Linked DNA regions of Rhinolophus ferrumequinum. The protein of the gene in region 1 interacts with the protein of each later gene in a pairwise test. Links are inferred from orthologs where the notes say so. Each region holds a gene or a part of one and is shown in the gene's direction. Other genes may lie near its edges. The genes, in order: FAM168A and OTUB2.

Region 1 (7,797 bases):
AACCGCCACAATAAAGCGAGTTGTAATCTTTTTGTTGGTGGAGGGTCTTGCATTCCATTTGTAAACAACACATCATCTGCGAAGCACAATAAAGGGAAGTACAATAAAATGATCTTTTTGGGATACACAATTCAACCCACCATATGTGGTATGCTTTTTTTTTTAAGCTTATGAACTTAAGCAGCATAATTTATGTAAAGGATCCTCTTAAACATAAACTTCCCTTCCAATTCTCTTCTGACCTTTTTTAGTAACAACCCTCACTTCTGTCAGCTCCTTAAAATGAAAAATATCTGGTACCTTAATTAATTCTTTTATCTGCCTTGGGAGTTCAAGGTCAGCCATTTTATGGATAAGGAAACAGGTGCTGGAGAGGCATTGACTTGACAGAACACCCAGTCCTGGCTGCGGTGGGATTTGAACCCAGGACATCAAGGCTCTTTCCTCATATTGCTGCTGCTATAGGAGCTTAGGTGACTGTAATCAGTTTGTGCAGATTTTGTGATTAATTTTGCTCTTCACTTTATTTAATATGAGCTTTTCCGTTGTCATTATAATTTTTTCAGCTTTATTGAGGTATTTTCCTTGTCATTTTAATTGATTATCGATATAGTTTATCTACTTGTCATGTTAATGAATTAATTCAATCACCACTTCCTGAGGCCTCACGCTGTGAGAAGGTCTGGGCTGAACTGAGCTCTGGCCCCAGAGATGAACCACGTTACCTTGGTCCTTGTCCTTGAGGGCAGTAAATAGACAATGAACATGACAGCGTGAGCAGGCTGTGGGAGTTAAGTGGGCTCCTAACCTAAGCGAGGGTCAGGGGAGGCTTCCAGATGCCTGACTTAGGTCTTAAAGGATGGGCAGGATGCAATCTGATTCCTTTAATATTGGCTATTAGAATGAAATATATCGATGGGTATTTGATACCCAACGATGGAAAATTAGTAGTGTGTGATTAGTTTTCTAGCACTCTGTCAAGTGCATTAACAGGTTTTATATAACAGCCTTCATCACAAATGACAGTAACCTTCATTTGCCCAGGGTTGGGTCATTTACAAAACATTTTTACACTCCTTTTCTCATTTGCTACACAAAAAGCTCTTTGAGATGCTTTGTTTACATACATGGATTTTTTGTTTCATATCTTAAACTCAAAAATTATAATTTTCAGCACGATTATTGCAAAAGTTTAAAAATTGAATTAGATAACTTTGGAAACTTAGAATCATTCAAATTGCACTGAGAATTAAAACGGTCTGGTTTCTGATGCTAACTTGGCCTTCCTCTCTCTTTCCTCTACTATAAAACGGTCATGTGAGGGACATTGAGGCTGACGATTAAGTGAGATAATGGATCTTATACACCAGCACAGCACCTGGCTCATTAAAGATTGGTTCTCCTAACATGGTCTCTAATGTCCATTTCCTGCAATTCTACAGCAATTCTTAAAGTAATACTCCAGCCTGCACGTGTGCCAAGGTTCCTAAAGAGATGGTTTGAGAGAGTTCAAAGCCAACTCATTAACATAGCTGGGACAAAACCATCTCACAGTCCTCGTTAATCAGATAATAACGGGCAAAGGATAGAGTTTTGACACTGTCATTTCCCCTGTAAGTTTGTTTTAGTTGAGTTGCTGAAAAAAATTGGATATGGTAGGAATAATCAACATAAAATAAAATTGACAATGGCTAAAACTACACGTGGTAAAATTTTATTATGGATGGAAAAGCAAACTGAATGACTCCATCTTTGTTGGTAACATTGAACATTGCAAAGTTGACCCCTGGGAAAATTCCACTTGGTAGAACTAATCAACACAAAATAAAACTGACAATGGCTCAAATTGCTCCCAGGAAAAGGTGGACTTGGTGGAAATAATGACTAGAAATTTTGTAACAGCTGAAACTATAATCAGTAAAAATTGATAAAGATAACTGATGAATCAAATCTTTCTTGTAAAGTTGATAGAGGAAAGCATTATATCTTGATGAAAATTCAATATAGAAAAAAATCTAGAAAAGTTAGAAATTGTTTAACGGTGCTATATAGAAAATTATCAAGGAATTAAATTGGCTTAATGGAGTTAATTCCTTAAATAGTTCAATAAATTCATTAATAATGATATAATTTTGAGTAAAGAGTTTACATGCCAAGGCATGGCAGGGTTTTGGAGAGGTAATTCTCAAATTAGATCAAGGGTTTGGACTCTAAGTGGCACTTTACAATCTTCAAAACACTTTCATACATGTTGTTTTATTGGATTCTTCTAAAAACCTTATGAGGTGACAGAGCAGGAATCATTCCTTCTATTTGCAGATGTAAACACTGAGGTTCAGAAAAGCTAAGGGATTTACTAAAGGTCACCCAGCATGTTCATGGCAAGGTCTCATTTAGGATCTGATTCCCAGATTCCTAGTTCAGTAAATTTCCTCCTATCTATTCCTCTAACTCAAATAAATAATCCTTTACTTGCAGAACAGATCAGACCCCTCTAATTTTGATCACCCAGCCCCCACTTTCTGCCAGTAGGAGAGCAGGGGAAAGGAGGAGGAGGAGTGAAGAGGGTTTAGAAAGGGGATGGCCAGTGCAACTAAGAGGGGAAGGGACATAGCCAACATGTCATGGGTATTTTTCTTACTATTCTCAGAGAAGAGAGCAGAGGAATAGGATATTTTTTTGGGGGTGGAGGTGGGATTTTTAAGCCTGGAAGAATAGGATGAAAAAAAACTAGATACGCAATTTGAAAAAGTGCCTGATGTATTTGGAGAAAGTGAATACCATGGATAGAAATGTAACCAGATTTAGGTGGGGTGAAACTGAAGGATTTGCTGCAGGATTGTTAAACTCTAATCTAGGCCACCTGTACTTTCTCCCATAGGCCTGCAGCTCTCCAGTGGGCTGGCTAGTGGATCTCAAATGTTCTGATGTTTCTTGCACAAAACAGAGTAATAAAGACACATGAAATATAAAATACTGTAATTGAATACAGGATTTATGCTAAATCAGAGATCTGATACCATATTTCGTATTCTAGGAGAGCTGGACACAGAAAGGAAAAAAAAAATTTAAGTGTAAGACATTTATTCAGTCTATAGACAAGGCTTTAAGTAGAGCTTTGCAGATCTTTACCCTAACTGTGATCCTTCCTCCTCTCTTCGCCTCCCGACAGAGATCTCTGGCCCACAGATTAGAAACCACTGCTATAGGAATTCAGATATAAGGAAAAAAGTGTGCCTGAAATATGTTCTAGGGAAGGCAGGACTTTGTCTTGAGTTTCAAGATGAGTGGGAGATCAGGAGGAAATGGGTGTGGAAAGACCAGAAGAAGGAAAACTTTGAGAAGAGACAATGAAAATCCAAAAAATACTCCCTTCTAACTTAATGGTCTTTTATGAATTTTAATTGACCACTACTATTTTAATAGTGGAACTGTTGAGCTCACAAGAAAAGCCAGACAGGCAGAGTCCTGGAGCTTCACTGAGGGCAACAGGAAGCCATAGAAAGCTTTTAGGCAGCAAGGAGAGGTTGTTGGATTTGGAAATTGTGTTTTTGGAATTAGTCTTATAGCTTAAAAATTATGTGCTCCCTTTAAACAATTCAGCCACTATGAAAATAAAAATTACTTGAAACCCTTTCCTCCAAGATAATCACTGATAATATTTTGGGGAAGCTCTTTCCTGAAATCTATGATTATAGAATATTATCTCAAATTTCACCTGAGTTGGACCATTCTAAACATGCTATTCTGTAATCAATATTTTTCCTTTGAGAATAAAATGTGAATAGCTTTTCATGTCAGTAAATAGATCTATATCATTATTTTAAATGGCTGTTCAGTACTGCATTGTTTATATACATAATTGAATTAGCCCGGTGATGGACATTTACGTGTTTTCCTTCTATAGTCAAGAACCTCATGTAACAACCTTGTATTCATCTTTTCCAAATTGTCGGATTATCTTTTTAAGGTGAATTCTTAAAAGTAATAGAGCTGGGTCAAGAATTATGCCCTTTTTACAGTTGGATTCAAGTTGCCAAATCGTCTTCAGATTTGCAGGACGACCAGGAGGAAGCTGCTGCCTTAGTTCTAGCGTGAGACTGTCGTAACTGGGATGGCGAAGAAAGTACAGTCTCACAGGTGATGTAGCTCATTTAGGCCTCTCTTCGGTGGGTTGGCAAATTCCTTCCCTTTTCCCTTTGCTTCACTTCTTTTTCTTAACATGGAGGCAGAACTGAGAACTGCATCTCCCAGCATATTGCAGGGACCACAGTCCCTGGGAATTGTAGTACCGGGCCTGAGAAGGGCCCGGAAGGAGGGCAGGAGACTTTGGGGGCATGCTGGGAAATGTAGTCCAGCGAGCGTCGGTAGCGGTGGGGGGGGCATTGTGTGCGCGCGCCCGGGTAAAGAGGTTGGAGATGCTGAGAACATCGCTACCTGGGGATAATGGAGCCGCGTGGGTGACCTAACTTCCTTCACATGTGGTCTTTGAGTCTACAAAACCGCCCGCGGATGGTTGACTTTATTCCATTGTCCATGACCGGGGAGGGCACCGCCCCACCGCACTGGGCGCGCGGCAGGAGCCGCAGGCCGCGCGCGGGTCGGAGCGGGGCATGCCGGGAGTTGTGGTCCCGGCAAGCTGAGGCTGTGGGACGTGTCGCGGCGCTGCGCCGGCTCCTCCTTCCCCGTCCTTATAGGTCCCCCGCCCCTTCCCTTCGCCTCCTCCTCCCTCGCCCGCAGCCGAACGTCCCCTCCCCCCATCCGTCGGGCTTCTCGGCGGCTACTGCAGAGGATTCAGAGCCGAGTCGCTGAGGAGGAGGAGGATCCCGGTCCCTGCGCGCCATCCGCCACCTTACTGGACACGGGCGAGGGAGCGAGAGCGTCGCCTCTGTACCCTCTAGAGAAGACAAGGGCATCGCCACCTCAGCCACCGCCGTCGCCGTTTTCGCCTGCAGCGGCTCTCCGGTGAGCAGACCCCCCCCCCACCGCCCCCTGGTCCGCTCGCCCTGAGCCTGGGCCGGTGGTACCGGGGAGAATGAGAGTGGAGGCTGCGTGAGCGCGGGTTGGGGGAAGGGGGTTGAGGTCGCGATGGAATGGCAGGCTGGGAGGGGAGACTTGTCCAGGCGCGGGCTGGGGGTGGGGTGAGGGTGGGACCCGAGCAGGTTGGGGGGCCACAGGAGAAGGGGACTTTTAATGGGGAATAACCGGACCTGGGACAGGAACGTGGGTTCGGGGGGCTGGGGTGGAATTTGGGATGGTTTAGGGGCGAGCTGGATGATGAGACTGGAGTGGGATGGCTTTTAATGGGGGAGGGGATTGAATGAGGGTGGTGGATTTGGGGTTGGCCTGGAGCAGTTGACAGTTTGGGATCCGAGCTGGGGTGCGGGGTAAGGAGATCATTTCAATAGAGAGTGGGATTGCAGGGTTGGATAGGACCCTGGCGCGGGGGGGGGGGATTGTTAATTCAGGAGGTTGGAACTGGGGGTGGACCTAGGGCAGGCTAATAGAGGTGGTGGAAGCTGGGGGTGGGGGGCTTGGCGTGGGTTGAGACCTGAGCTTGAAGTAGGCGTTTGCCATCTCAGGGTGGTGGAATTTGTGGAGACTTACGGAATCGCGTGGGTTAGAAGAGCAGAGGAGGTAGAATTTGGGGTGTTCCTGGGGAGCTGGTGGGAGTGGGACTTTCAATGAGGGGAGTGTAATGGTGACCTGGCAGGAGCGGGGTAAATTAGAAATTAGGCCCAAAATGGGCGGACAAGGATTGAAATTGGGCGGAAGGCGGAGGGGGGTGCACAGTAGGATGGGATTTCGGGTGATCTTAGAACCACTGGAAGGGGCATTGGTGGCTCTCTGGGTGCAGGGTTAAGGCAGAGGGCACAGAAGTCACCGCTGAGCTCGATTCACTGAAAGAAGAGTGGCAGGTGGTGAGCAATGTTGGGGGATGGTGTCTTGAAGAAAATGTCCCCTGGTCAAGGTGGCAGAGGGAGTTTTGGAGAAGGAATGTCTGAGAAGAACTGGTAGGACTGGCGAGATGGTTGCTAATGGGGAGGTGCAGAGGGGTTCTTTACGGAGTGGGAGACATCGGGTTGGTGTGGACGGGCAGGGAGGCTGTGGAGGGGGCAGGAGCAATGCTGGGAAGACGCAGGGGAAGGATTTGGATGGCCTTCAACAGGCAGAAGCAGGTGAAGGGCTGGACTTAAATGGACAGCTTTGGAGGCTGTGGTCGGGGGAAGACAGTAATCACAGGGACTTTGCAGGGGACAGAGAAGGTACATGAAAGACTCCCAGAGGACGTGGTAAGCTGTTAGTTTCATCTTTTTGTTGCATGTATATTAGTATTATATTTGGAAGTAAATCAACCCAAAGGGGAAAGTTGAGAGAGGCTTCAGTTAAGGTAGAATGAAGGAGGGGAGCATGTCTTCTGTTACAGACACACCTTGGAGGTACTGCAGGTTTGGGTCCAGACCATCACAATAAAGTGAGTGTTACCATCACGTGAGTTGTGTGCTTCTTGCTGGTGGAGGGTCTTGCCTTCGATTTGTAAAAACTGCAACATTCGTATAAATCTGCAACATTCGTATAGCGCAACAAAGCAAAGCACAATAAAAGGAGGTATGCTTGTATTGATATAAAAACAAAGTTTGGAGAGAAAAGCCCACTCCCAAACTAAAGGTGGAGAAGATGAAACTGGAATGTGATAGATGTCTTTCTATATGATGTCTCTGCGTCTTTTCTGCCTTCCCCTTGGTGCATTTAAAAATTAGTCCTGGAATTTAGAATTCAATAGATTTGATGAGCTTGAGGTAGCAAAGGGAGCGTTCCTTGCTTGAGAACTGATGAATGAGACTGAAAAATATAAAGCTGAATTCATCTTCTAGTCAGGCAGCGTGCATGTATGCAGAAAGAGCTTGGGCCTTTTTTTTTCTCCTCTAAAAATTGATTGCTTGAAGGCTCCATTTATTGGTGTCCTGGTTTGCAAGGCAATTAGGCCCATCATTGTATTGCAGGCTAACAATCCTGAGATGAATCTTGGCACCACCGCTTTAAGTAAACAGAGGGAAGACAGGAAATATGGAAATATCATAAATATTCATTGGTAAGATGGTTTTGGTATTGGTGGAGTTTTTCATTTGATTCTCTTCTGACATTACTTGATGAGATTTAAAAGAATCGGACTATATTTCTATAAATTGAATTCAGGTGGTCAGAATTCGGTCAAATGTGGATAAAGCATATAGAATCATTTTTGTTTTATTTTTTAGAGGATGGCCTTACATTACATTTAGAGGACACATTACATTAACTACAGAAACAATATCTCCATTTATTAGAAATTTTATTTAAAGCTTAATGATATACTTATTCTCATGGCCGAATGGGGAGGTAGCGGGGTGTGCATGGACGAAGCAGTTTTCTGGACTGAATTGCGTTAAGTATGATACCTTAAACGAAGTGGCTATTGATTAGAACTCTGAGGAAAAAATGGGGAGGAATGTAAAGAGGATAAAATCGGCACCAGCAGGATCAAAATAATTCTTTTTGTTTAAGCTTTAGAGTTTAGCTCACAAACACCATTTTCCTTGGCTTTCACAGTTGCGCAAATAAAAATACCCAATATTCAGAATTTTTTCCCCCCCAAAACGGGCAGAATGGTGGAAGGTTGGACTTATCCTTGGAAGTGAGAGGAAGCTTTCTGTATTAGAATGAAAATCAGGTTTAAGTCGTTACCTCTAATTCGATGAGAGTGTAATCTAATTAATGCAAGCGTTTCTCCTCATAACTTTACTCTGGGGTCCTGAC
Region 2 (8,257 bases), on another chromosome or scaffold:
ACCCACTCGGCTTCTAGGGGGTTTGAGGAAGTCACCCCCAGAGCTGGGTTCACCCACACAATTACCCAGAGCTGTGAGTAGCATTAATCCCACTTCACAGAGGAGCAGACTGAGGTCAAGAGCAAGAGAGGTTGTATCTGTCATCGAACGCTGTGTAACAAATCACTCCAAAATTTAGCAGCTTAAAACAATGAACATGTGTTACCACCCCATCATTCCTGTGGGTTAGCAATCTGGGCGTGGCTTAGCCGGGTCCTCTGGCTTCAATCCAGCCATCGGCCAGGGCTGTGGTTTCATCTGAAGGCTCGACTGGTGGAGAATCAGCTGCCCAGCTCATCCACGTAGCTGTTGGCAGATGAAGCTCCTCACTGGCTTGTTGGCTGAGCACCACCCTCAATTCCTTGCCCTGTGGACCTCTCCATAGGACAGTGTGCAATGTGCCAAGTGAGAGAGAAGGGAGACAGAAGCAAGACAGAAGCCGCGGTCTTTGAGTAACCTAATCTCAAAACTGACATGCCATCACTTTGGTGTACTCTGTCACAAATAAGTCACTAGTTCCAGCTCACACTCAAGGGAAGGGGATTATTCCTGTGAACACAGGCAGTGGGATCGCTGGGGGCCAAGAGAAGCTGTGTGTCACAGAGATCATGTAACCTGCCCCAGGTCTGTAGCGGGACACCTTCCCGCCTCCTTCAGGGGGTGGGCTCCCTGCCTCACCTCAGGGAGACGAGGCCAGGGTGGAACAGGCATCTCTCTCCAAGCATAGGACTGCCTCCCTCCACACCCCCAACCATCCTCTGCTTTCTGTAAACCGCACCCAGTGTTTTCTCCTTTTGTGGCAGGAAGAGTGTTCCCTGCCCAGCCCAGGAGCCTGCGTGGGTACAAGCATTTGCTATCTGAACTGAGAAATGTTAGCTCTCAAGCCCAGGACTGGGGGGCCCCACAAATGGGCAGTTGGCTGGGAAATGTACCCATCTATTACCCTTCTGGGGCGGTGGGTCGTGTTTACACTGAAAAGCGAGCAGCGACATGGTATAACTGAGCTTTGTCAAATGATTTCTCTTCCAGATTTTTTGTCTCACATTTGAAAAGCCCAAACAGCCTGACACGCCACTGGCTCCCCAGGGACCCTCTCGGAGGGTACAAGAAATATGACCTTCTTTTTGCTGTTTCCCACTCACATGAACTCTCAGTGTGTGTCGCATCTCTCTGGGCGGGTGCAAAATTAAATCTCAATCATCTGGGCTCTCCCTTCCCGTCCTCCCCTCACCCTGCTGGGGTTTGTGATCCTGGGCAGCTGATCAGGGCAGGGGACTGGAGGTGACTTCCTCACTAGCTTGGAAGGTGAGTGAGGGCCACGGTTTTTGTCCGTTTTGTCACTAATGTGCATAGTCAGTGCCCGTCACGCAGCAGAGGTGCAGCAAACCTTTGTTGAGAGTTGAATGAATTGAATTTTGGCATGTCGCTCGCTACACCATTCACCCAAACATACAAGAGGGCTTGAAAGGAGGGACAAAAGAGTCACCGCCAGTCAGGCCAGGGGGCTGAGTTCCCTCGGCCAGTACAGGCCCTTTTTCTCAGGGTCCAACAGGTGACCTGCGAGTGAGGAGGGGCTCTGGGAGTTACCCCTGTTCTGGGACGCCTGCATTCCCCCTTGCCCCAATTCCAGAAAGTGCTCCCTATTTAGGCATACCCATCTCCCCGTCCTCCACTCCCCCGAGTCCCAATGTTCATCCTGGAAAGATTTTCTCCTCAAAAAGAAAATCGTCTTTCTCAACCTTGCCCCTGGGGGTGGGAGCCAGGGCAGCCCACAGCCTCCAGGGCTGGCCCACTGCTGCTGTGCTCCCTGGAGTGGGGCTGGGGGAGGTAAAAGGGGCTCACTCTAGCTCTGATTCTTTCTGACCTTCCCCAGCAGTGAAACAACACATGAACTTGTATCTTAATGAGTTTTGCAGGTCAAGGTTGCAGACTCTGACGTGTGTGTGTGTGTGTGTGTGTGTGTGTGTGTGTGTGTGTGTGTGTGTATGGATGGGGAGGGTGCAGTGTGGACGTGCTGTACAGAGGAAAAGGAGGTCAAGCCGTTTGCAACCTGGGGTCTGGTCCTCCTGCAGAGCACCCTGCCTGCAGCTCGCCAGGCAGGGAAAGTCAAGCGCACAAAAGAGCACAATGTAAAGAGCACCAGGAACATGGGCCTGCACTAAAGGAGCTTCTGCCAACATGGGTGCGGCTGCCTGACATCCCTCCATCAGAAGCTCAGTTTATTGATCCAGGAAGGAAGCAGATGACATCCATCCTGGTATGCAGACGCAAACCTCCTTGGGGCTCCTCCTGTCACGTGCAAACCCCTACCTGTCCCCTTTAGGCTTATTCACACAAGGATGCACAAGAGTCAGGCCCCGATAACCACCCTGCAAAGCCCACATATATTGGGCACTTACTGGATACCAAGTACAGTGTCAAGTGCTCTTCATGGTCATCTCATTTAGTCTTCCCCATTGCCCTCTGAGATAGGTATGAATACCCCCATTTTACAGTCGAGGAAACTGAGGCTCAGAGAGGTCTGTTTTGCTCAAGGGGCTATGCCATGGGAATCATGACATGAATATACCTGATGCCATTACCCATACTTGTAATTACCCTGTCCTACTGCTCCCTCCAAATCACAGCCAGAAGGGATCAGGGCCAGAGAAGAACAGATATGGTATGGTGGAGATTCAGAAGAATTCATCACCAGCTTGGCAATCTGGGAAGGCTTCATGGAGGAGGAGCCAGAATTTGAAAGATGGGTGGGATCTGACAAGTGGAGCCTGTGAAATGGGTGTTCCAGGACGAGCAAGGGCTCAGAGGTGGGAAAGTATGCGGAAGGTTCTGGCACTTGAATCCATCCTCTGAAGCTTCTGTCCTGGCCATGGGGGGAAGAGAGGAAGATAGGGGATGAGAAAGGTAAACTGGGGCCACATTGTAGAGAATGAGGTGGGGTCACCTTCTCAGAAAAGTCAGCCCATGAGTCACATGGGCCACAGGCCCAGCCCCAGGTGCTGGGGGTGTCCTTTTGCTGTGAGTCCTTTGTTAGAGGATAAAACCGTCTTCTCTGAATCTATGAGGCCATAGCAGCCAGCCCCGACCGCTCCACCCAGACACCTGGACACCAGGTAGAAGGGGTACAGGGAAAGGAGAGTCCATTTATTTTGGACAGAACATGTTAACCCCCAGTCACAGGGAGGCCCCTAAAAGATCTGCTCACTTTTTCAATTCAGACCCAGCTTGACAACTGGCTGGACTCTTTGTAAACCTTTTTTTCTCTTCTAACCAGGCTTTAGAGAGCTCAGGAAGAAGCCTGATTAATTACAGACTAAAGAGATAACACTTTTCCCAGCTTATTCGAACTACAGTTGAGGAAAGATTCCATTACACATATACTGAGATTCTGGCTAAGACTGTGTTTTGTTTAAAAGCTTCACTACTAAAAATAATTTTCAAATATCTTCTTTTTTAATTTCCCAGATTGTTCAACCCTCTCACTGAGTGAGGAATCAGAGGCCCAGAGAGGGTCTAGTAGTCACTTGAGGCCACACAGCAGTGAGTGGCAGAGTCTAGCCAGCCTGGGGCCCAGAGTTGCTGCAAATCCAGCCCAGCACTGCGTCCACAGGGCAACGCTTGCTTGGTTTGGAGCTGCTGTGTCCAGAACGAGCGCTCCTAGAAGTCTCAGCTCACTCAGGGTCCTCCTCCTGGGGACCCCAAATGCCTCATATGTGGGCTTGACCAGGGCTCAACCTGAGACCACACCCCACACAATGTCCCCCAGGACCTCCTCTCCTCTCCCTGGCAGATCCCTTGCCTGCACCCCATGGGGCCGCACCTGACTCAGTCATTCTTCCACCAAGTGCAGACTAACACAGCCTGGAATGAGCACTGAATGAGGAGTCAGAAGTCCAGGGATCCAGCCCTGCTGGGTTCTGTCCTAGCTGAGCAGCACTGAGAGCTGCTCCTGTCACCTCTCTGGCTTCCTTGGCTGTAAAAAACAAAGAGCGGAAACTCCCCCAAAGAAAATAGGGGCAAGGGGAGTACATGCACCCTCCACCTCACCCTCCACAGTTGCGTACGTGGTTCCTCAGCAGAATGAATTCAAAATCAGCTCTGGAGTCAGGCTGCCTGGGATTGACTCCCGCTGAGTGCTGTGTGAATTTGGCCAAGTTCCTTAACTTCCCTGTGCCTCAGTTTCCTCATCTGTAAAATAGGGATAATAGGAACTACCCCCATAAACTAGTTTTGAGAAAACTAAGAAAGGTAATATAGGTTGAGAGTTTAGGACAGTGCCTGATACACAGTAGGTGCTCAATAAAAACCAGCTATTATTGTTATTGCTCTTGAGCCTGGATTGACCCCACACTCCCCACCTAATAAAAAAGCTCATTTGGAAGACACAGGTGTCTGTCTGCCCAAGAACCTAGCCTTGTGCCTGGGGCAGGGGAGTGAGTGGGGTGGGAATTGCTGAATACCCGCTCGTGGAAGTATTACTACTTGTAAAATGGGTGCATGCAACGCACTGCAGCCCCCTGCCCCACAAACCTTTCGTCCCCACCAGTGTCCCTCCTCCAGGGATCAAGGGCTGGTGAACGAATCTTTGAGTGATACATATTCCTCTGTTTGATGTTTAGTAATAACAAGCTTGTATGCTAGGTGAGTCACCAAACCTGGGTCATGGTCTGTGTCTCCATACGTAGCCATACAATTCCAGAGGCCCAGAATCAACAATCCTGGAAATTCATTCATTCAACAAACATTAATTGGATGCCTGGCAACCTACTGATTCATGAGTTGAAAGAGGGTAAAATATTACTTAGAAGCTACACAAGGCCAGGCAGTTATTGTTATTGGACACGTGTTCCGTAAGTGCCTGTCCTCTGATCTTGAGCAAATTATACTTATAAGACCTTGTTTATGAATTAATGTGGGCCAGCTAATCTTTAATAAGACCTCAATTTGCAGTTTTGGTCAAAAGTCCTTCAGCCTTTACAAATGAAGACCTCTCTTTCTGGGTTGGGCTAACTACTTCGCGAGTTAAAAGCTTTCTATGTCTTTAAAAGGGGGCGGTACCCTATCAAATAAACCCTAAAGCATAGGCTGAAGGTGTGTGAAGTCCCACCCACTTTCTGTGACGTCCTGCATCCCGGCTTCTGATTGCCCGTCTCAGACGTCAATCGCGGTGTGTGTGTCTTGCTGGAACACAGTGGAGGTCTCGCCTCTGGTTTGCGGAGCGGTCGGGTGTATTCTCCGCTCGCCCCCACGCCCTCGAGGCCCCCGCCGCCCGACCCAACGGCGCAACCAGCCAGTGGCTCCCGCGGCGCCCTCCCGCACCGGATCGCTCCTCGCTGGGGCGGGACCTGGCCCGACAGCTCCGATCACTATGGTCAGTGGTCGTGGGGGGAGGCGGGGAAAGGGGAGCGGGAGAGGGAGGTGCGGTAGGCGGGGTCGCCGCCGTGGCGCTTGTGCACTCGCGGGACCGGGGTCGAACTCGAGGCTCAGCTTCCAGGTCTGGACCCGCGGCGTCCGGACCCCGGGAATACTGAGTCCGGACGGATGCTGGGGCCCGCGTTCTTCCTCGGAAGGCCCTGCAGGGCCTGGAACGCGCCCCGCCACCCACCATGGATGCCCAGCCAAGGGGACCCAGCCGGGCCCCCAGGCCTCCCGCCCCCAGCGCATTCATCCCAGGTGTCCCGAGGGTGACGCCGTGATGGCTCAAGGTAGGCGCTCTCGACTGAAATCAGGACAGGGAGGCTCCAGGGCTAAGGGTCGTCCACAATTTGTTAAATAGCCCCCCAGTCCGCAGCTCACGGCCTCACCCATCCGACGGCTCAGCTATCAGAGACCCCCATCCCAAGCTCCATGAATGGACTTAAAGGTGCACGCGTGGCCGGAACACTGAACATTCTCTGTCCTGCACATCAACACAAGGTTTGGAGTTAGCACCTACATGGAGAGGCTGCCTCAAGTTGAGAGGCACGTGGATTAGGAGTTCAGGCAAAGCAGAGACCAGAGGAACCCCTGATTCAGTCCTGTCTGAGCAGACAGGTCCCCAGAGACCCTCTGAGCCAGGCCAAATGCGGGGATTGGGCAGGTGGGGAAACTGAGGCCAAAACAGGAACGAGGCTGGGACTGATTGTGATGAACATGGACCTTGAACCCAAACCTCTGGACTCACAGTCCAGTGCTCTTGGTGTTACATCAGTGCACCTTCTGGGTTTGGGGGAGGAGGGGTCAGGCAATCTGGAGAGGACTGGCTGTGATGACTGCCTGAAACCTTTCAACCCTGAGCCCCCTGTTCTAGGCATCCTGTAGAGTGTAAGGGTTGATGGCCTTTATGGTGGCTTGGGGTCACACAGCCCGAGTTCAAATCTCTACACCACCCCTTCGGGCTTTGGTTGGTCTGTTCTCCCGAGCACTATTTTGCTCATCTGTACAATGGGCTGCTGTGAGGACCACGTGAGGTGATGCAGCTTTTCCTGTGACGACAGAGTCCTGGGAATAGGTGTGCACAGCTGCCCGGTTGTTTGTGCTTTGCTTCCTCCCTCCATGTCTGGGCAGGGAAATGGGTCACCACTGCCGGATGCTGCAGGACAGAGGCCTGGGTCAAAGCTTGGTCATAGCCAGATACGTTCTGAATGCGGGAGGGGCAGCTGGGTCACCTGAGTAGGCCTGTCCTGTACAAACCAGCTTGCTGCTGGGGTGTGGCTGAGGTCTCTGGGGCATCTGGAAGCACCAGCTTCCTGCTTCTACCCAGTGCCCAAGGGTTTACCCGGCTCTGCTGCTCCTGGAAGGGGGCCCAGGTGTTTCTGCATCACCCCCTAGGGAGTGGCAGGAGATGGGGTAATAATGGGTTTAGCCACCCTGAATCGTGAAGCTGCCATGCCTTCTGGTCACCACTGGAGAGCCGAGAGCAAACAGGGGCAGTGGGGCTGGGACCTCAACTTTTGGCCTTTGTCCTGCACAGTGAGGCCTCTGACCCTGCCCTCCAGTCTGCCATGGACTCACGGGACCAGAAGCTAGATGGCAGATGGGGTCAAAAGCACCAAGCCCTCACCCGGCGTCGGCAGTCTTGGGTGCCTTGGAGAGGGATGAAGTGGTTTATCCACTAAGTAGGACGTCACCCTGGGAATCCTGGGAGGCAAAGGCTCTGCAGGGTCTGTTCTCTTTCATTCACCCCAGCATTTATGGAGCACCTGCTGTTTGCCAGGCACCACATGGGCCCTGGGCTGCATGGTGTGGATGGTGGTGAGTGTGTGTTGTGGGCAGAGGAAAACGTCCTTGGAAAACACAGTCTTCTTTCCTTTCTCATTGCAGTCACTGGGCTAGGCGTGAGGAAAAGTCAGGTAGAAGACACAGCACCCTGTGGGAAGGACAAGGTCCCGGCCTGTGGCTGCCAGTGGCAGGGGCTGTAGGTGGTGAGGTTTTCATGTTCACTCCAAGTGCATTTAATGTTGGGGGAATGGATGAGTGTCAGGCATGAACAGATAACCACAGAGCCCTTCTGTGCTTTGTTTTTATTTGTCCAACCAGCCTCCGTTAGGTATTCTAGTCAGGCCCCACGCTGGACACTTATGAGAAAGACCTGGGGAGCCCTTTCTTAGGAGCTAAATGCCTGTTGGTCAAGCCATAGCTGGCCATAAGCAATTCCTGAGCTACTGACCGTGGCTATAGAGGTCTGACCAAGGGTTTGGGGAGCACAGCGGGTACCATTGCATTCTGGGACGGGGGGTGTTAGGAAGGATTCATAGAGGAGGACTTTGGAACTGGGTGTTGAAGGATGTATCCTTCAGGGAGGAGTAGGGGAATACATGCCAGGCAGGGTGGGGCCAGCTCTCTTAAAGGCCTGGAAATATGGTTCAGAATGGGATACTCTGGGACAGGAGAGGTGGTCTGTGTGGGTACAGGGAGCTCCCAGGAGGGAAGGGAGTTGAGTCTGGAAAAGTCGGTGGGGTCAGAAGGTGCTGTAAAGGGCTTTGCCAGCTGCACTGTGGGTTTGGGTTTAGTCTGCTGATGGGGAGAACCGTACAATGTTTTTGACAAGAGGTGATTGACTTGGACGGTCTCTCTGGCGATGCAGTGGACACGGGCCTGGAGTGGCCAGGCTGGAGCCTGAGACCGGCTCATCCATTTGCTCAGTGATCACTCACATGTATTTGTGGAACATTAGTGTGTGGTCGTCACTGGGGATCTGGTCATGACAGGCAGGCAAAGTCCTTGCCCTTATAGCGGT

What was found.
Region 2: the proteins of FAM168A (region 1) and OTUB2 interact in binary tests that used the Homo sapiens proteins (3 or more experiments, as listed by UniProt). The two-hybrid records come from large-scale screens. The link is inferred for Rhinolophus ferrumequinum from reciprocal best matches to the Homo sapiens genes FAM168A and OTUB2.

The regions. Positions count from the first base shown.
Region 1 is NC_046294.1:48,815,703-48,823,499, reverse strand, and holds the start of FAM168A (protein FAM168A), read left to right. Parts: upstream 1-4,723; 5' UTR 4,724-4,965; intron 4,966-7,797.
Region 2 is NC_046289.1:9,052,387-9,060,643, reverse strand, and holds the start of OTUB2 (ubiquitin thioesterase OTUB2), read left to right. Parts: upstream 1-5,222; 5' UTR 5,223-5,407; coding exon 5,408-5,410; intron 5,411-8,257. UniProt on the Homo sapiens protein: Hydrolase that can remove conjugated ubiquitin from proteins in vitro and may therefore play an important regulatory role at the level of protein turnover by preventing degradation.